Linked DNA regions of Neurospora crassa OR74A. The main gene of each other region encodes a partner of the protein of the gene in region 2 in a complex. Links are inferred from orthologs where the notes say so. Each region holds a gene or a part of one and is shown on either strand. Other genes may lie near its edges.

Region 1 (10,985 bases), on a different chromosome or scaffold from region 2:
AGGGCGGCAGATACCCCGTTGAGGTCCTCGTGCGGGGGAAGGACGCCGCCGAGAACGAGAAGCTTTTCATCAAAATTACGGATGCCATCAAGGCTGCGGGCGTAAGTTACATCCCATCCTGGGCGCACATCAACATCTCGGTGCGGTTCTAACACATTTTCGCTCGTTATAGAAGAAGGTTGGCGTCCTTACCAAGGACACCTCCAAGGGCCCCTTTATCGACGAATGGAAGAAGGTCTATGCCGATAACTGCAAGGATGTGGAGGAGGTTGACGTTGCCCAGGCTCTGTCTGCTGGCGCCTTCTCCGTCAAGGATGAGACCGAGCTTCGTGCCATGCGGACCTCGTCCAAGGCTTGCGTCGCCCTCCTGACCCCTTACTTCCTCGACGAAATGTCCAATATCCTCGACCAAGATAAGAAGATCAAGCACAGCGCACTAGCCGATAAGGTCTTCAACAAACTGGAAGACGATAAGTTTTGGAAGACCGTCGAGCTGCCCAACCGACAGAAGCTCCCGGCTGACCTCGATCCCGAGCAGCTGGACTGGATTCTGGGACCGATCGTCCAAAGTGGTGGCAAATTTGACCTGAAGTGGCAGGCTGATTCTGACAATGATATACTCCACCCGGGAATTATCATCGCGGCTATGGGTCTCAGATACAAGTCCTATTGCTCCCAAATCGCCAGAACTTTCATGGTCGATCCCAACAAGTCCCAAGAAAGCAACTACAAGTTCCTACTTGCTGTCCACAACCTCATTCTCAAGGAGATCCGGGATGGTGCCATTGTCAAGGATGTTTACACCAAGGCCTACAACTTTGTGCGGTCCAAAAAGCCCGATCTTGAGAAGCACTTTCTTAAGAACGTCGGCTTTGGAATCGGCCTGGAGAACAAGGACCCGACCTTGATTCTCAACAACAAGAACACCCGTACCCTTAAGGATGGCATGACACTGGTTGTGACCACCGGCTTCAGTGATATCCAGAACCCCAACCCCCAAGACAAGAACAGCAAGGTCTATTCCTTGATCCTTTCCGATACGATCCGTGTCACTAGCTCCGAGCCGGTGGTGTTTACTGGCGAGGCGCCTGTCGATGTTGATGCCACCTCGTTCTTCTTCAAAGATGAGGAAGAAGCACAGCCCACACCGAAAAAGGAGAAGCGGGACTCTAGGGTGGGTGCCGTTGCAACCAAGAACATCACTAGCACTCGTCTACGCTCTGAGCGTAATACAACGGTAGATGAGGACGCGGACAAGAGACGTCGCGAGCATCAGAAGGAACTCGCGCAGAAGAAACAGAAGGAAGGCTTGGCCAAATACGCCGAATCTACCGCTGATGAGAATGGCGTCGAAATCAAAAAGTTCAAGCGCTTCGAATCTTACAAGCGGGATAATCAATTCCCGCCCAAGGTTAAGGATATGGGCATCGTTATTGATCAAAAGAACGCGACCATAGTACTGCCTGTTATGGGCAGGCCGGTACCCTTCCATATCAACACCATCAAGAACGCAAGCAAGAGTGACGAGGGCGAGTGGTCATTCTTGAGAATCAACTTCCTATCTCCTGGCCAGGGTGTGGGTCGGAAGGATGAGCAGCCCTTCGAAGATGCATCTGCGCACTTCGTCAGGAGCTTGACTTTCAAATCAACCGATGGCGATAGGTATGCTGACATTGCAAACCAAATCTCGAACCTCAAACGAGACGCTGTCAAGAAGGAGCAGGAGAAGAAGGATATGGAGGACGTAGTTGAGCAGGACAAGCTCGTTGAAATCAGAAGTAAGTCGCTTTCCCGGATCAATTGTATTGCAACATACTAATTAACTATCAGACCGTCGGCCCGCCGTATTGGATAATGTCTTCATCCGGCCGGCCATGGAGGGCAAGCGTGTGCCTGGTAAGGTGGAAATTCACCAGAACGGTATTCGCTACCAGTCACCTCTCAGCACAACGCAACGCGTGGATATCCTCTTTTCCAACGTTCGCCACCTTTTCTTCCAACCATGTCAGCACGAGTTGATTGTGATCATCCACATCCACCTCAAGGATCCCATTATCATTGGAAACAAGAAGAAGACGAAGGATGTCCAATTCTACAGGGAAGCCACCGACATCCAGTTCGACGAGACCGGCAATCGGAAGCGCAAGTATCGTTATGGTGATGAGGATGAGTTCGAGGCTGAACAGGAGGAACGCCGGCGCCGCGCAGAGCTGGATCGCCTGTTCAAGTCGTTCGCGGAAAAGATTGCCGAGGCGGGCCGCAACGAAGGCATTGAGGTGGACATGCCACTCCGCGACCTTGGTTTCAACGGTGTACCGTTCCGCAGTAACGTGTACATCCAGCCCACCACGGAGTGTCTCATCCAGATCACCGAACCTCCATTCATGGTTATCACCCTTGAGGACATTGAAGTCGCACATCTGGAACGTGTTCAGTTTGGTCTCAAAAACTTTGATCTGGTGTTTGTCTTCAAGGACTTCACGAGGCCACCATACCACATCAACACCATTCCTGTCGAGTCTTTGGAAGACGTCAAGGAGTTCCTTGACTCGTCTGACATTGCCTTCTCAGAGGGTCCTCTCAACCTCAACTGGGGTGTCATCATGAAAACGGTCACTGCCAATACCCACCAATTTTTCTTGGATGGTGGCTGGGGCTTCCTGCAGAACGACAGCGACGACGACGAAGTGGAGGAGGAGGAAGAGGAGAGCGCCTTCGAAATTGACGAGAGCGAATTGGAGGACGCTTCCGAGTCTAGCGAAGAGGATTCCGAATACGACTCCAACGCCTCGGAGGAGGCCAGCGATGAGGCGGAAGACAGCGAGGAGGAGGAGGGCGAGGATTGGGATGAGCTGGAGAGGAAGGCTAAGAAGCGTGACAGGGAGAGCGGCTTCGACGACGAGGAGGAACGTGCGGCACCCAAGAAGCGGAGAAAGTAGACTGATTAGACCCGGTCTTCGTTCGCTTGAGCTCTTCTCGCGATATGACAAGGTTAATCGGTTGACATTTATTTTCCTTGTGAGTTTGCATATCTTGGGAAAAGGGTTTCAAAATCGGGCCTGTGTACAAGTTTGGCTTTTTTTCAGACTTTCCCTTTTTTTCCTCTTTCCTATGTCGGCGTGGATTTGATTTTGCGCGGTCTTTTTTTCTCTCTTCCAATGGGCAAATTTGTCTGGCGTGCAAATGGGATATATTGTTTGGTACTGTAGTTGTATGAACATGGTAGGTAGTAGTAAACTACTTGTTTTACACAATCTGGCATGGTGAGTGATACCGTACTTTAATTGAAGTTGTCACAGGAAATGAAAATGAGCTTGTGGTTTTCTTTTTTAAAAAAATTGTGAGTAAATAATGAGACCTACATCCCATGAAATGCATCTGTACTAAGTAGTGAAACGGAAACTATACCAAACCCAAGACGCCGTTCAGTTATTGATATCCCAAAAAGACTTGTGTAAGCGCGTGCTGAACTTCAAAACCCAGCGAAGTTTTTGGAAACAACAACAGGCAAAGCTCACAAAGAGCGGTTCCGTGTTGGATCAGGAATCCCGCCCTCTCTCTCTCTCTCTCTCTCTCTCTCTGTCTCCTTCAAGTTGTCTGCTTCTCCTTACCCTTTCCGCCTCTTCTATCCCAATTCATGTTTCGACCAGCCAGCCAGCCCCCGTCCTAGCCTCATCCCGCAGGGTAAGAAGTTTCATCACATCCATCCAGCCATCCATCCATCTCACGGCGTAATTAGGGTCTAAATTATATCTTCGTTCTTTGTGTGTTTTGTCTTACTTGGTTCGAGTTCTGGTTGCTCGTTTCACGTCGATCCAGCCTGAGCGGCCGAAGGCTGATTCCACGACAGGTACGACGGGTCGCCCAGCTTACGAGGCTTCCATATGAAGAAAGACAAGACAAAGTAGATGTCAAGAATAAGGCAGATGCCGCCGACAATGAGGAATATTATCCCTGGCCAGATGTTGCGGGCGCCCATGGCGGTGATGGTGGTGAGCACGATGGACTTGTGTCCGTTGTAAACGGTGGTGTTGAAGTTGTCGACAATCTCAATCCGGTAGTTGCCCGCCTTCATGGCGTCGCGCTCGTTCTTGCGCACCAGCTTGTAAAAGTCGGGCGAGGCAGCGAGCATCATCCAGTTCTGGAAGTCGGCCCAGTTCTTGAGGTCGGGAAGCTTGGTGTCGTTTGTGTAGCCGTTGGGCCAGGCTGCCTCCCAGTTGGGTGGGGGCACGATATCGGCCCGCGAGTACTTCGTCTCGCCGTATAGGTCCTTCAATCCCTCCCAGCTGATGTCACCGGCCTTGTTGGACATGACGTAGTCGGTAGAGTTTTGCTCGTTGTAGGGGTTGGAGAAGGTGTCGTTGAACATGGAATTGGCCACCACGCCGCACGGGTAAATGACCTTTCCGCTTCCTCGAGGGTCGAGATCCAGGGGCTTGCAGGTCGAGCCGTCGATAACATCCTTGGATACGGCATCGCCCAGAAGTTGCTTGGCGTTGAACGAGTTAACGTAGCGACGATGGTTCTGGTAGAAGTTGTCGAGATGGTAGTAGAAGCTGACGGGTGCCGGGAGTTCCTCGGGAATAGGGAATGAGATAACGCAAATGTTTCTTGGAGCCGTGATGCCGCTCCATTCGAAGGTTACGTTTTTCTCCTCAACATGCCATGTCGACATCTTCTTGGGGTCTAGGTTCGGATGGTCGGCCAGGGCTTTTGAGGTGAAGTGCGACTTGATGTTATCGGGTGGAATTGGTTTCCTTGTGTCATTTCCTCTGGGCGCATCTCTCAGACAATCTGTGTAGTCGATACTGATATCTCGAACCTAAAAAGATGGGTGGCATGGTCAGCGGCTGGTCGGACACTTTTTGCAGCAAGTGACAGGGGGCACAGAAAAGAACCGGGGGAAAGTACAGTGAAGGCGAGATATGTCAAGTAGGCGCCAAAGCCAAGATAGATGGCGGCGAGGACAGTAAAAATGGAGACGATAAGTTTGGGCGTGAGCACGCATTGCCAGGCGCGCATTCGTTGCTGGCGGAAAGCAGTGTTGGGTGGACGGTTCTTGGGAGCATCTGTCTCTGATGAGTTGCCGTCCTGGGAGCCATCGCGGCCGCCACGGCGACGGCGAGGTGCCATGTTATCGGATTATTCCAGCGACTATTGTCGTCGCTAAAAGGTCGGAAAGATTCGAAGACCAGGAGAAGGGCGGGCGCTTGCGATGATGCAAGTGGAATTCAAGCCGTTTTGCAAAGTTGATGGAACGGCGGCGCCAGGAACACACGCAACAGGGACAGAGTCTAAAGGTGGGCAATGGAATTGTCAACGAACAGTTTGAGTCGGGCGCTACAAGGACAGGACGGACGGGCAAGTCCACTGCTGCACTCCATCGCTGCAATGGCTCGAGACCTGAGTGGGCAGTGGAACGCGGACCCGGACCCTTCGGCCTTCTGGGGCGTTGCAACAATTCAAAATGGTCCGTGCCTTCCTCTTGGCAGGGAGGCTGTGAGTTTCCATTTCAGGGCTTGGTTGTCCGACGTCCGACTTCACACTCGGATATCATCATCTGAGCACTCTCACGAGATGTCTCACGTGAGCGAGAGCTTGTCCAGGCCGCTCAACTGAGGGAACCGCTGAGGGCAGCACACGCACGGGCCATTCTCCGCTGCCCCGCGAATGCACGTCAACAGTCATTCAAAGAGGTGCTTCTTTAGAACACAACAACCTCCAGAATCGGGCACAGAGTGAGCTGCCAATCTCTATATGTGCCACCAACCTCTCGCGCTTCGTTTCACCTTTTTGCACAACGTTTCTGTTCTGCGACTTCAGATCCGTCTCACTATCTGGTACAAGAGTGATATATCAGCTGTGTGTCTTGTGTTTACCGTTCGGCGCCCGGGTGGTATCTCGGCCTTTTGCATATCAGTATCTTGATTGCAACATCCTGTTCTAGGTCTCATCCGCTCCACTTGATCTGATGGGGTCGGGGACCAGTCAACCGGACACTACATACGCAACCAGCAGCGTTCACGCGCAGGTGATAGTAACAATTGTTCGTGCAAGATTGACAGGCAAACCGTTAGAACCCTACACAAGCAACTTTCAGCACCACGACACAAAAGACTTCTTCGCCGTCGTGTGCGTGAAGCCTTGTGCATGTGTAGAACGAAGCATTGAGACAAAAACGGCTGCCGAACAGCATCGAGATCATCAATGAGGTACTGCGTAAAACTGATGAATAACGCCAAGTCTTCGGGGATGGTTGCCACCCGCAAAAAAAGAAGCTGTTTCTGGCTTCTCTAGTCGAGTTTGGCTCGCAAACGTTACGAAATGGCTGCCGAGATCTGCAAGAGAAGCCGAAGAAGAAGGACAGCATCAGACTCACACGTCAGACACCCGACGGGGGCGGATGGGTCAATGAGGTATTGAGGTTACAGCCAACCAGACTCTAGACCACATGTGTAACCCCGGCGACAGAACATCTGAATGGCAGGCAATGCGGGCAAGCTGGCACCAGAGAAAGAGAGCTGGCACACGCAAGATAGGCAATTGGACAGGGCACGCAGGGACACCAAAAGAAGCAAGGAAGAAGAAGGGGGGCAGTCGCATGAAGGCTCGTGCTTGTGTTTTCTAGAAGGATTCGACAGATTTGAGTCTGTGATCGTGCTTGACGGAACTTGTGGAGAAGCAACAAGGAGCACAAGAGAGGTGGGTCTTGCCCCCAGCAGGGAACGGAGGAGGGCATTGCCTTCATTGTTCCAGTTGTCTCGACCCTGTTGATAGTCAATCACTGACGTGGCTTCGAAAGATGTTTGTCGAATGATGGCTGACGAACATCAACGCGTGAAAAGATGAGGAGTTGAAGATTCAGCGCCGGCTGCTAAATCCAGAGTCAATTCCATGAGGTGGTTCTGGAAGGCTTCTGTAAGCCTTCTGTAAGCCTTCCCGTCTGTGACACGGTCCTAGGTACTTACCTTAACGGCCAAGCTGAGGCAATGGCCGGAAAGGGACATCGCAGAGAACCCTGCACGCCAGTACGGCAACGGTCGACCGTCCAGCACCTTGAGTTCACGACCCAGAACCCAGATAACGAGCGCAAACGGCATCACCCACCCCACCTGCCCGCCAAAACCTAGAGCTTCACCTCCTCCACATCACTCCCCTCATGCCAGCTTTCCTGCTCTCTGTGTTTCCGGCGCTTCTACTCTCGCCCTTTTAACAAAGACAGTAATAACCGAAGACTCCCTTGTCTCATTTGCCGTGTCGTGCTCAGCTCTCCAGTCCTCTGTTGTTATTGCCATTCCCCCTTCCATCATTTCCACCTCCACCCACACAGCTCCCCGCCGCCTGCTTCGTTCGGTCAACACGCCTCGCCACAGCTGCCTTGCTTCTTTCTTGCGTCGCTACAAGGCAACTCCTCTGCAAGTGAGATCGCAATCGCAACCGCAATTGCTCTCGCGACACCAGAATTCGGTCGCAACGAAGAAACCTACCCTCGTGCTGCGGTGTTTGCCGAACCGTCTTAGCCTTTATTCCCTGTCCACATTACAGCCTTGTCTGCTCTGCTTTCCCGGGCAGCCACGTATAAAGCATCTCGGGCTACGAGCTGGTCAAAGCATCCCAGCCTTTGCTCCCTTGCCATCGCCCATTCCGCAATCCCGCTCGTCCTTCATCATCCCGCCCGCGATCCTCTGAAACCTATCCATCCATCTCCGGCGTTCGCAACCACCGCAAGACTGTTGTCCGCGAGATTGCTTGCGACCTCAACCTCTCCATACCACCTATCCTACATCTGGTGATCCCTAGGTAAGTTCCCTAAATCTCTTCAGCCATGTCTCACCTTGTTTGCTCGATCAACATCGTTGTGCAATCGAACATCTTGTACCCGTGCGCTAGGTCGCATAGATTCGTAGTCAAACAGATCACATGGAGTGTGGATTACTGTCATCCCAAGACCGATCTCTTCTCTGCGTCATGCCATTCTGCCAATTTCGCAATTTCCCGTTCGGCAATTCCACTCTGATCCGATGTCAAGATCTATGCGGGTGATCATCCATGCTTGTTCTTTCGGTAATCAGGTGCTAATTTTGTAAAGTGCTTCCAGGCGCCAAAGATCTACCTTCCGACGCCCCGTGTTAAATTACAGACGCTCTGGTCCCTTGCGACCTTTCGATCTCCATCCGACCTTTGCTCGCGAATTATAAAATAAAGTTCGGGGACAAAACACTTCTGGATCCTTTTTCTCAGTTTCAGTAGGTAGTGTTCGGTCCAAGCTACAAGCATCTGCATATCTGATTCGAACATTTGTCTGATATAAGGCAACAGCTCTCAATTCAGCTCGACACACCTCACAAGATTCATCTGTTGGGATCAACGTCACCACAATGTCGAGCACAGGTTTCACCAGCCCTTTTGGGAACGCAAACCCGTTTGGCAGTTCAGGCAGATCTGAGTCTGGGCCAATGCATAGGCTGGTTGAGGAAGACGAGAATGATACTATTACTTCGCCTACAACTCCCCATTTCGGCGTCAAGAACAACGCTGCGCCCGCTTTCTGGAACGGCTTTGGTGGCGATGCTCCGTCAGACATGCCCGTCCGGCGCCAACCTGATGACTTCCCTGCTCACTACAACTTGGGTCGCCGGACCTCCGTTTCGGCAGAATCCCTGAAACCAGTCACGGATAACTCCGACAACTGGTCACCTCCTGTTCATCCAAAGACAGCAGAGCAACTTGAGCGTTTGAAGAAAGCCATCAGCGGCAACTTTCTTTTCAACCACCTTGAGGACGACCAGAGTGCCCAAGTATTGGGTGCTTTGGTAGAGAAGCCGGTGCCTGCCAAAGGAATCAAGGTTAGTACCTGAAGCCACTGCAACTCTCTGTTTTGAGAAACACGGTTTTTCTAACGCTTTTTGGCAGGTGATCACTCAAGGCGATGCCGGTGATTATTTCTATGTGGTAGAGAAGGGAAGATTCGAGGTTTATGTCAACAGCACCGGCGCTCTTCAACCCGGCCCAGACGGCATGGGACAGAAGGTTGGCGAGATAGCGGAGGGTGGCTCTTTTGGCGAGCTTGCCCTCATGTACAACGCACCCCGTGCTGCTACTGTTGTCTCTGCTGAGCCCCAGTGCACACTATGGGCGCTTGATCGTGTCACCTTCCGACGAATTCTCATGGAATCGACCTTTTCTCGTCGTCGGATGTACGAGAGCTTTCTCGAAGAAGTGCCCATCCTCAAGACCCTCACGCCATATGAGCGGTCCAAGATTGCGGATGCTCTCGAAAGCCAGAAGTACCCGGCTGGCCATGAGATCATTCTTGAGGGTGACCCCGGCCACTCCTTCTTCCTGTTAGAGGCTGGCGAGGCGGCAGCGTTCAAGCGAGGAAACGATTCTCCAGTTAAGAACTACAAGAAGGGTGATTTCTTCGGTGAGCTTGCGCTGCTGAATGATGCCCCTCGCGCGGCCAGCGTCATCAGCCAAACTGAGGTCAAGGTTGCCAGGCTTGGCAAGAATGCTTTTCAAAGGTTGCTTGGTCCGATTGAAAGCATTTTGCGGAGGACTAGGTACGTCGAAGCGGAAGAGGTGGATCCTTTGCAGGTGTCTTGAGGAGACCAGAGTGCAAATTGAATTGTTATAGACTAAAATGGCTTTCTTTATCACTGTTGGGTAAGGTCCGTTCTTTGGCCTGGGTTTGGGGTTCAAGACTTGCACACAGAAGTAGTTAGTAGTTGTTGTCGATGTTAGCTTTATTGCTGGTTAGGAAAGGCGTCTACTAGGTTCTAGTACAACATATACTGATATCATTCAATGTCGCCCATTTGTTCCCAGAACCGCGAAACGCAGGCTGTAGACTGGTCTTCCACCTGCTCGATACCATCTGGGTCTCTATTACCGAGTTTCATTGTGCTTATTGTGTTGTTTTGGTGTTGCCTCCCCTCTCATCCATTGTCTATCCCTCGGGGGATTCTTTGCAAATTAGGTACCTAGCAGTTCATTCCATGGTCCTTGTCGAGCTCATTCGTCGCCTATCGTGACACGCCCTCCTCTGATGCAGATTGATGCTTCACTGAGCCTTTCTTTCCCCCATGTGTCTATACAGCCAGACACTTCGTACCTTGCCTGTAAACCCAGGACAAAACCAAAGCCACAAAATCTCCTCTCCATCTTGAATTACCACCCCCTACTCCATCCCCCTCCTAACCTCCAAAACCTGCCTTCTCAACCCCTCCACAGCCGCTTCCGTCTCCAACACCCTACCCACGCCCTTCTTCCACGTATCCTCCAGTCCCAAGATCTCCGGTCCAACCTCGTCCTGCGCCTGCTTCCGCTGCAGCGTTACCAGATCAATCTCCCTCTTCGCCTCCGCCAATTCCTTTTCTATAGCCTTCAGCTCCCCCTCTAGCTGCCAGTTGCCAATCAGCCACGCGTTCTTGCCGTACGCGTCCAGCAAAGCTAGGTGCGCTCGCCGCTGCGCAACGTAGGCGTGGTCCGTGTAGGCTTTCCCAAGTAAAGAAGAAAGAAGGGTGGTGGCTTCGGAGCTGTCCATTCCTGCAAGTTCGGAGGCGGAGGGGATCTCGGGGAGGGAGGAGTAGCGGGCTAGGTCGAGGGCGGAGAGTTTTGGTGGCGGGGCTTGTTGTGTACCGTCGGGGTTGGCGGCTTGGACGTGGTGGGAGGCGATGCGGTCGAATTCGGATTCGAGGAGGGGGGTGATGTGGGACGAGGGCGTGAGTGGAGGGGGGAGAAGGGCGTGAAAGGGATCGTCGGGTTGGAGAGAGCGTTCGGCGGCTATGAGGGCTTCGGCGGCGGAGCGTTCGGAGGGGGTGGGTTCCGGGTCAATGTCTGTGATGGAGGAAAGGTTAGTAGTTGAGTTGATTGGGGGTGGGTGAGGTTGCGGTGAAGGAGCAGGAGAAGATCCCTTGGAGGGTTGTACAGTATGGTTGGACGTACATGGAAGGGATTCGTGGATTGTGGTTATTAGTGGCATTTTG
Region 2 (10,204 bases):
ATCTTGGTATTTGATAAAGAATGTTCAATTGCGTGTCATGCTTCGCAAACCATCTCAATTTTGTATTCTCGTCCTTTTTTGCACTTTGCCATCAGTACGTTAATCCCAGTCATCCCGCCAAGGCCTCTGTGATGGATTATCACAGTACACTAGAGGCAGGGTCGCAGTCCGCAGATGTGCGTGATGGTATCGTGGGCGGTTAACAAACCTTCACCCATGGGCCTGTTTGCGCATCAAATCCCATCAGTGATGAAAAGAAACGGTAAAAATAGACCAGACGGTTACTCACTGCTGCAACCTTTGATTGTCACTGTGGTCGTTCACTCGAGGAATGCCATCAGATGTTGAATAGACCTACCTAATAGCCATGAGCTGTTCCTCCCCAGCCAGAGCCCCGGTTAGGCATCCGTTATGCATCCGTCTACACATACATTACCGCCGGGCTGACTGAAAAAGGAACGACACAAGATACCAAAGGGAGTTCTGAAGTCAAACATCAGCAACTACCCGTACGTTTCCCACACTACAGACTGCACGCCGGAATACTATTGCTGCACCAGCTGGATAGTCTTGAGCCACTAGACTGGCAAACATCGCCGAGACTTTCTTTCGCAGCCAGCACTGTCGAAATTGAATAATTCGTCTCTGCCATGACTCGGGGAGTTCCGTTGCGCATTAGTTTGTCCTGTTCTCATCCAACATGCGTTATAATAGGTTGTAGTGTAAGTTTCTAGGGGATCCGCAAGCCCAACGTCGAGGGTCATCCATCCCTTTAACGGTAAAAATGTGTCCATCTTAGCGTCCCCCACCCTCTACCTCCGGTTGTATATGTTCACCATTAAAGGGATTGATGATCGGGCTTGGCTTCCAGTATACGCGTCCTGGTTGTCTAGGCTTCTTGGCGTGCAGTGATGAGTCTCTAATAGATAGGTTTTGTACACTTGTTATGCCCCGTGAGATACAGAGGCAAACTTTACTCGGGCGAAAGGCGACATCGCTTGTCGTTCATCTCCCCATGTCTTGGGGTTGGCGAAGGGTGGGGGGGGGGGGGGGGCAACGCATACGGGTTGGGGTTAACTACACTACACTACCGATTTTATCACCTAATGACATTGCAGGGTTGCTAGGGTAGCTTCTGATACACCGTCACGTCCCCTCGCCTCGACATCAACCAACCTTTTTCTATTTTTAGTTCCCTTGTCTGGAGCCGAACTGAAGCATCGGCCGAAATGCTCCAGAGAGGAAGGTAGGTACATACTTTTGCCAATCATCAGGTTCATGTCGGTCAGCCTGGGGGAAGGAAGAAGAAAAAAAATGCAAAATCTCGAGGAGGTTCAACAATATCGTTGTCAGACTTCCTCTGAACTTTTCAGTGGAGTATCAAAGCCGAATTCGAACCAATATCAAACTGGAATCTTGGAGCTCTGAATCCTATTCTGAAGTCAAGAGACAGTCTCACTTGTTCACTCAAAGTCCCCGACAGTTACACTAGAGCCAGGCTCATCCTGTACGTAACCCTATTTCCGCCTCATCTCATTCGTCCCTTCTAAGATCCATATCTCATGCCTTCCAAAAAGTTCACCAAAGCGCCATGCTTCTCTCCAAGATTTTTTCAGACATCACATCCGCCAAGCTTCCCATCTTGTGAAGTCCCCACGTGAAAACGCGTCGGTATTGCGTGCTTCTTGTGGAACTTTCCAACTTTCTGTTTTTCTTTTGTTTTTTTTCTTTAGCTTGACATGTTTGGCGACCATCGCCGGCATCGGCCCGTGGCAATCCAGCGGAAACATCCGCATGAGACTTGGCTCATCCCAGCACTCTTGATGGATCCGGAATCTTTAACTCCCGAAGCTGCGCAAAACACGTGAGAACGTGGATGATTTCGTGAATGTCGGCCAAAGAAAAAAAAAGACCCAGCCAGAGAAAACGCGGACAAGGCAAATGCCGCATCTTGCACGTGTACCCACCCATCGCCCCAGCCACCAAACGGGGCCCGGTAGCTGGGCTCGGTTCTGGAATGCCGGGGATCGGCCGGTCGTCGGACATGGTGCCGGGCTGGTTGGCTGGCTCGCTTGGCTGGGCGGCGACAAGATGAACGGGCACTGTGTGAGGCCGCGAGCAAGTTTTCCGGTGGATTCTTCCCCATCTTTTTTGGTACTATTTTCCGGGCCATGGAAGTTGGAGAACTCTTGCGATTTCCATATCCTGAAGAGAAGACATCGAACCAGGTCACCCACGCCACCGCCTGTCTGCATACCTGCATCATGCTCGGACATATCGGAATCTGTTTTGTGATTCATCCTACGGAGACAGAGACGCACGAAAATCGCGCGACTTCACGGGACTCTCTACTGTGTATGAAGAGTCAGCCAGACCGGATCCATCACATTACTAAGCGGCTCGTGGATATGAACTGCCGATGTTCCTGGAAGTTATTCCTCGATCGACGATCATCTCGGACGACTTGACGATGGAAACTGGCTTTGGGATCTCGGTCTTCTTCGCCATCAAGGTATGTACGCAGTATGTCCGGCTGGCGAAAGCTAATGGACACCTGGTTGAGAACTACTTGGTTCCTCCTGGTAGCTTGAGAGCCAAACGCTGGCATGTGCTCGGAGTTCGGATGGCAAAACACAGGCAACATTTACACTACTGTGTAAAGTGGGAGAGGTGCATAGAAGCTTCTGAACAGTTCCCATGTCCTTCATGCTTCGTGAAAGGGTCGCATTGCTCTCACTATTACAGGTTCAGAACCGATCATGTCGTCCTGGCATGTGATCTGGTCAATGACTGAAGACAAGGAAGAGGAAGGTAAACATCTCATAAACACATGAGCGCCTGCCTGGCTGTCGACACGGTGAGTGAGATCTCGGGGACAGAAGTACCTTTGCAGCCTCTATGAACCACGATAACAACCCCCCTAATATACCCTTACCGGGAGAGTCATCTCGCTACCCTTCTCACCTCAAAAGACGCAAGTAACCACCGGTAAGCAACCTGTCAAGAAGCAATACGCTGCTACTCCCCGAGTACATCATCCGATCCCACCGGGTACTCCTACCGATGGTATCGCTGATGGACATTGTATATCATGTTAGCCTAGCCTGACGTACAGGCATTTATTGAATGGAAGGGGTTTACATTTTTACCTCATTTTCTTCAATACCTCGGGATATCAAGATAACTATAAGACATACAACGCCTTTGAATTGTTTCCAACTCCGAGATATCAAGTCCACTTGGAGTTAAGGGAGGTAGGAAGGCAGACATGTTGTTTTCATCCTGTGCTGGAACATTGTACCAAACTCTCATGCCAAGAGCACGAGAAGATATAATAAGCAGTAATACTCGCCGTCAATATTATATGTGTCAAACATCATCATTCCTTGCATACAAGTACTTAGATTTCAGCGCTCGCGCTACCCCTTTGACTTACCTAGTACCAAACGACAAGACAATACCCACGAAATACATGTATCCGTCACCGTCTCATCTACCGCAAATGCGGCCATTTCACCTAGCTAGGCAAAATCAAAAAGTTCCAGTTAGAATCCAACTTCAACCTAATTTACCTCTAAATTATACGCACATGAGAGAAGAAGGAAGGATGGGCCAATGAAATGGGCTAAAAAGAATAAAAAATCAAAAACAAAGACAGGATCAAAAACATACAACACCAGGGATTCGCTGGTCGTCACCGACCCAACTACTAGTCTGGCCCTCACTGGCTTATCTATGGGAGAGCGGACGGGATCCCGAGTTTTCCAGTGGGTATGGTCGTATGTGCTTTAACTGTTGAAAACAGAGGATTATGAAGCCACGTTGAGGGTTGAAAACTCGTCACCAGAAATCAATGAACCTACTACGCCTTTCTTTCCCCACATCACATACACAAGAACATGTCAGTAGAGGAAAGCGCAAGCATAGATGGAGCGAAGAATAAGAAAACGATTAAAAATAAGTTGTCGTATACCTCCCTTTCATGCCTGCTTGCCTGCCTAGTCTGTCTGCGTGCCCCCCTCATGATACGCAAAGAAGATGTCTCTTCCTTCCGTTTTTTTTTCATCTTAAATCCATCCATCACCATCAATCAGTCCATCAGTCACCTATTCATCACATCTCCGTCCATACACACTTTGATTCATGTCCCTCCCACCCCAATACATTAAGCGCAACCCCATTCGCTGGTTTTGTTATTTCTGCTTTGTTTTGTTTTTTTATTGATTCGGTCTTGAACTGGCCATCTCGCCATACCGACCACGATGCTGTGTTGTGTCGTAGGCCTGGAGCACGCGGGTCTGCGACTCGTCGGCCTGCGAAAAGGCATAACCGCGTTGCTTGCGCATGCGCTGGACCTGACGGACTTTGCGGATGGCTTTTTGGAATTGTTCCATGCTGTTGTCCTTGCGTTAGCAATCGAATAGAGGCAGGGTAAAAAAGTAAGGAGAGGAGGGGGGGACGACGAATCATGGCAAAAACATACCGAGGCCTATAATCCTGAATGTTATACTTCTGAATCTCCTGCACGTGATGATACGCCTCCGGTCTCCACAACCGCTTGCTAAACTTCCACGCAAAATCTCTGAGCAAACAGAGGATTGCCAGCGTAGGCATCTGGATCCAGAAGATCGGGCTCGTGAACAGCCTGGGGATGACGCCAAAGTACTCAACACTGATGTTCAGCTTGGGCGCCACCTCGCCATAGACTGCCACGAATAAGATCCAGAAAGCCATGGAACCGGGGATGGCGATGACGTGGTACTTGGTCCAGTTGTTGGTCACCAGCGCGGCTTTGCCGAGGACGGTAAGTAGGACGGCACCATACATGGCTGTACCCCAGACCCACTTTCCGCCAGGGAAACCGTCACCTTGAGGCCCGTCGTTGAGCCAGAAGAGACAGCCGCCTACATAGAGAATGATGGAGTGGTAGACGGCGTTGATGATCCATTCGCCGAAGACACGGATCTTGAAGAAGGTGTTGCGCTGGCCGAGGTTGTAGAGCTGCGGGTAGCGGTCGAGCAGGCGGGCAGAGACGAACTGATCGAGGATACCAAGGGCGAGCGGCGGAAGGACCGTAAAAAAGACGTTGTAGAAAGAGAGAGTCCAGGATTCGTAGATGACTTCACCGGAAAAGACGTTTTGGAAAGTGTACTGTTTCAGGTCAGTGTTTTTGAATCAGAAATGGTTACCTGCATGGAACACATACCCAAAACTGTGTCAGATAAAGGCAAATGTTCTTATAGAAAGAGAACAAAATGGTCTTCGACACACGATGGTAGCTCCAGGCGCCATGGACGAGAAGCAACTTGCGGAGGTAACGGAACTGGGCAATAGACACATCGGCACTGCGCGCAGCTTGTAGACCTTCCATACCGCTGATACCGACACCAATATGGGCAGCCTGAATCATAGAGACATCGTTGGCTCCGTCGCCAATAGCGAGGAGAATCGACTCCTTTTGATACTTCTTGACCAACTTGACGACCAGGGCCTTTTGCAGAGGGGAAACACGGCAGCAGATAACGGCCTTGCACATGATGGCAAGATCAAGGAAGAGCTTCTCCATGTCCTTCTCCAGAGCGTACGTTAGCGATTTGCCGTCAATAACGAGAGCCAGGGTCTCCATCTCAATGGTGGCATCGCCCTGGTTGCGGATGGCATCGAGCTTCTTCTGAAGATTATCCCGCGTAGCTTCCGCACTCTCTTCGTTGACAATGAGCAGCATCATGTCCTCACTAAGCAACTTGCAACTCATGCCAATGTTGATGGCGGTCTCTTGTCTGTCACCGGTCAAGACCCAAACCTTGATGCCAGCTTCCTGGAGGGTGTGAATGGTCTCGGGCACACCGTCCTGCAAGCGATCCTCGATAGCGGTGGCACCAAGAAGGTAGAAGTCGTGCTCGATGAGTTCGGCAGCCTTGTCCAGCTCATCTGCACGATTACCACCAATGGTCGTCTGCGCCGTCTCGTAAACCTTCATCCACTCCTGGAATTCGTGCTCCGGGATTTCCCTCATGGCCAAGCAGAGCGTGCGTAGTCCCTCAGAAGCATATTCCTCAAGATGTCGCAGGGTGGCGTCGACGTGGGGGTTCTGGTCATTGAGCCTTTCCAGGATGACGGTGTCTGCACCCTTGCAGTAGCAACGAACCTTGCCGTCAGGGCAACGATAAATCGTGGACATTCTCTTTCTGGTTGAGTTGAACTCGCAGACTGCCAAGAGCTCGTACTCAAGCTGCTGGCCGTTGGCTTCGATGATAACAGCGCGCGGCTTGCGAGCGACGAACCTGTAGCCCATCTGTACCGCACCATCGACAAGCGCTCCCTCATCTGGTGACGCGGCTTGGTACTTGATGCTTCCGTCTTCAGCCTGTTCCGGAATAACAGTATGGCAGATGGCGAGAAGGGTGAGAAATTGGTCAATGACCTGCGCAGATTGGTGGCTCTCGAGATTCTTCTGCAGTTGCTTGAAGTCGTGGATTCCATCCTCTCCGTCCTCACCACTCGGGATTCTATCCTCGGGCACCTTGTCGGCGTACATGATTCCAGCGATCGAGCATTGCCTATATTCCATCATGTTGCAGGTCAAGGTACCAGTCTTGTCTGAGAAGACGAACTCAACCATGCCCAATTCCTCAACCAGACTGGAAGTTCGGCAATTGGCAGGGGTGTCGTTAACGTCGTAATACATATCAAGGTCGTCGTTAATGAGAATGCCGTGCCAATACTTGACCATTTCAATGGTGACGAAGAGCGAAATGGGAACGAGAGCGGAAAACAAAACCCAGTATGTGACCATGTCCTTGATGAAGATGCGAGCAACAGCCGAGGCACCGTTCATAGGATCCAAGAAGAGATAAGCGAGACCTTCCTCGCCCTCCACCTTTCGTTGGATGAGATCACCGACAGTAGAGACCACGCTGAAGATCAAAAGGATACCGACGAGGAAGAGTACGAGCGTGTTCAGCTGCCTCTCGACCTTGGTGCGCTTAATCGGCGCGGCCGTGGCGTTGCGCATCAGCTTGGTCTCGTGGCCAGTGAAGACAACGACACCGTGGACCCAAGGGGTGTTGCGCAGAGTAGCACCACGGAGAAGCAACTGCTCGGGGTTTAGAGGAAGCTCCTTCTCCCCACCTCCAGCCTGCATGGTCAAGGTCGCTTCGTAAGTGTAAAGACTGCTGTTGGGCTGCTCGGAGCGAATCCTGCCTCCCAGACGACTCAACTCGCTGGAGCTAACCATAGATGACGTTTCTGGCAGAGCTTGCTTGATCTTGAGGTTGGTCTCTCCGTCGAGATTGGCGGTTTCGATATAGCAAAGACCCTCGGGCTCGGAACTCGCCAAGAGAACAAGATCGGCGGGGAAGGACTCCTCAGATTCGACTCGAATGATGTCTCCAACCGAGACGTTGATCCATTTCGTTTCCTCGAATGTCGAACCCCTCAGGATCCGGGCCTTGGACATATTGAGCGCCTTATCTGCCTGTTTTCTCCGATAATCTTCGACCATCTCTTTACCCGCCGAAACCAAGAGCACAACAGCTAGAGGACCAATTGTAGTATATCTGTTTGTAGGAGACAGGCCGGGAATCTGCTGTAGACCGGCGGTAAATAAGAAGAAGATGTTGGCGAATTTGGAGAACTGCTCGAAGAGGAACTTGGGCAAAAAAGTCGCAAAATTGTACTTGGCGGTCGAGACGTGGTTGTCGACATACTTGTTCAGGCTGTTGGCGGGAGGGTTGTTGAGATGGATGATACGGGGCCCAAGGGTTGCTGGATCCGGCTTTCCGCCCCCAAACCCAAACTTGAAATCAAACTTCTTGGCTGGCTTCTGGGGAGGAGGAGGCTCGTGAGAGTGGTCTACCCGTGCGGTCGCTCGCGGATCCGTCAAGGGGAGGTCCATCTCCGAGTATCCCTCAGGGCCCATTCCAAGCATGTTCTTGGCACGACCGATCAAACCGCCACCCATGCTCAGGACGCTATTCCGTGCGCGCGCGCTGTCGCGGGCAGCCGCCGAGTCCGGGGGGATAGCTCCGCCATGTTGGTAGTAGGACGTGGTACTCTCGTCAGGGTAGTCGTCAGAGTCCTCGGCATAGCGTTGATAGTTTCCGAGATCCGACGTTTGGCTGAAATGCCGGTCCAGGGACCTGCTATCAGGGTATGGACTTATTGGGCCTCCGCCGCCTGTCGCGCCTGGCGCGGGCTGTATAGGTCTTGTAGCTGTTGGTTGTGTTGTTTGCCCGGAGCCGACGAAGTCATCGTAGGATACGGACGGGCGAGGTTGCGCGGCGCCTTGCGCATCATCGCTGTGTAGTCGCAAGAGATCGTCGTCGTTTAAAGTCGACCTTTGTCCCCCGCCATAATATGGTTGTTCGTTGCCGAAGTCGAGCAGCAGATCGTCGTGTTGAGCGCTCGACGGGGCCCCAGGAGGGGGGCGGCCAGCCGCCATGCCGGAGACCGGGAGCCGGAAAATGGACGCTGTCGGTAGGACAGTCCGTCAGACCAAGGTGAGATGGTGGTGTCGCGGAGACAAGCGAGGGATTCGAAGACAAGGGCGGAGAGTCGTGCCTATAGCGGGAATAGGAGCATCTGAGGACTCAATGTGGACGAGGGGGAGGAATCCGGATACGGCGGGCACTTGTTGATTCCAGGCCGGAGTAGGTAGCGCGTGTGTAATGCGGCTTTGATGGATGTGGTCGAGTGCTGGGTAGCGTATGAGTCTAGGTAAGGTATGTTGACCGCAGGAACGTTTCTTTTTGCGACGAGACGAATGCGTGAGGTGGAACTTGGGGAAGCTGAATTGGAGTTGGGAATTGTACGGAGAGATAGTGGATGGTGGGCTGGATACTAGCGCAGTAGGTGCCGCCGCCGTGTCATGGGAAGTCAAGTGAAGATGCAGCACAGCCTCCTTTCAAGGCTGCTCAGCGCAGGATTCGCGTGTGGAATTAACGAACTGGTGCCCCCCGGTACAGGAAGACCAATGATACAAGACACCAATCTAGAATAGAGGTAGGTACCAATGGGCCCGGTTCGATACCTACGGTTCCTGGTACGCGCCAATACGGTTTGCTTGAAGAGTGCCCTGTCAATGAGTTGGGATGCACCCCCTGACGGGATGTTGAGAAAGAGTCCAACGATCGGTACCCAAGTCTGGCGACCTCAGGAAAGGGCAGGTTCCATGTTTTGGATGTTTGAAGATGCAGACTTTATTTCTTCTGGAATTCAGGGGATGTCAGGGATGGAAGGGATTGCCTGAGTGATGGGCTTGAAAAGCTGCACGTAATCGTAATGTACACTACCATCCATAGGTAGAGGTACCGGCTACAAAGACTGGGACACTCACCCACCACTAACACCACAATCGCCTTCCCAGGGGACCAAGCCGCCAAGGCACGTCACAGCGCTCCTGTTAGCGGGTCACCGTTGTTAGGCAGAGCATCCATGTGTGGATTGCCAGTTGCTATGAATAAAGATGTTTCGAATGCGGCACACCCAATCAAGATGCTCCAAGGTGTGTTTGAGGCTGGAAGCGAGGACGCTAAGCTCATGACTAAGCGATAGTGGCTGACAGTAGGGGCCCTTTTACCCCACCATACGCGGCCTTCTTGGTCCCTTCAAGTTCTCTGGTTCTTCTCTGGGATGCGCCATGGGCTTGGCGGCCAGTACAGGGCACCATGGTAACAACGCCCCAGCGGACACCACCTCAACTTGCCGCCGCTGTTGTGCTCTGACCTCATTCATCACCAACTTGAACCACGTAGAGCTATCTCATCAACCGTCAACAAAAGCTTGCTCACCACTTCAACCAAGGAATATAGGAGAGACGCCCGAAAAGAAATATATCCCCGACATGGTTTGCGCAAAGTGCCAAAAGAAGGAAAAGACGACCCTCGTCACGCCGGCGGTCAAGAAGAAGAGTGAGATGTACTATGGCTCCCCAGCAGCAGCAACATCGTCATCATCGAGCTCGGCCACGGGACCCAAAAAGTCGGCAACTCTGGGCAACACAGGAGTGACAAAGGTGAGTTTTTGGTCATCCTATCATCATTAGAAGATATCAAACTATTCGTCTGTACTAACTGGTCCTTACCATACAGAGCAAACTGCTGTCCAAGGCGGCTCAGAACCCCTATGCTCAATACTCCAGCACTTGTACGCGCTGCAAGGCAAAAGTATCACAAGGCCACACCTTTTGCAATAAATGCGCGTA

Evidence for each region.
Region 1: the proteins of NCU00352 (region 2) and NCU01165 are in contact, whole or in part, in a cryo-EM structure (PDB 6PSY), measured with the Saccharomyces cerevisiae proteins. The link is inferred for Neurospora crassa OR74A from reciprocal best matches to the Saccharomyces cerevisiae genes DRS2 and CDC50. Residues at the interface, in NP_009376.2 of Saccharomyces cerevisiae: His241, Val242, Ser243, Pro244, Met469, Lys475, His476, Leu477, Ser478, Tyr479, Leu480, Tyr481, Leu482, Asp494, Thr497, Tyr520, Phe523, Met524, Ser527, Asp528, Leu529, Tyr532, Glu534, Asp537, Pro539, His1000, Trp1003, Tyr1029, Ala1032, Asn1033; in NP_010018.1 of Saccharomyces cerevisiae: Lys21, Lys22, Pro23, Pro24, Asn25, Phe28, Arg29, Gln30, Gln31, Leu33, Lys34, Ala35, Trp36, Gln37, Pro38, Ile39, Leu40, Ser41, Pro42, Val45, Leu46, Leu48, Leu49, Val52, Phe56, Leu63, Phe138, Tyr140, Lys142, Asn145.

The regions. Positions count from the first base shown.
Region 1 is NC_026505.1:3,098,144-3,109,128, forward strand, and holds NCU01165 (LEM3/CDC50 family protein), read right to left. Parts: upstream 5,479-10,985; 5' UTR 5,134-5,478; coding exon 4,912-5,133; intron 4,823-4,911; coding exon 3,806-4,822; 3' UTR 3,297-3,805; downstream 1-3,296. Other genes in the region: NCU01164 (transcription elongation complex subunit), read left to right, coding at 1-101, 173-1,778, 1,831-2,939; mcb (camp-dependent protein kinase regulatory chain, variant), read left to right, coding at 8,379-8,846, 8,914-9,603; NCU01167 (hypothetical protein), read right to left, coding at 10,178-10,836, 10,945-10,981.
Region 2 is NC_026503.1:3,543,305-3,553,508, reverse strand, and holds NCU00352 (phospholipid-transporting ATPase), read right to left. Parts: upstream 9,233-10,204; 5' UTR 8,444-9,232; coding exon 5,207-8,443; intron 5,152-5,206; coding exon 4,484-5,151; intron 4,396-4,483; coding exon 4,218-4,395; 3' UTR 3,589-4,217; downstream 1-3,588. Other genes in the region: NCU00353 (hypothetical protein), read right to left, coding at 1,620-1,705, 1,968-2,102, 2,258-2,284, 2,570-2,736, 2,965-3,083; NCU00351 (cript family protein), read left to right, coding at 9,641-10,015, 10,092-10,204. UniProt on the Saccharomyces cerevisiae protein: Catalytic component of a P4-ATPase flippase complex which catalyzes the hydrolysis of ATP coupled to the transport of phosphatidylserine and small amounts of ethanolamine from the lumen to the cytosolic leaflet of the trans-Golgi network and ensures the maintenance of asymmetric distribution of phospholipids.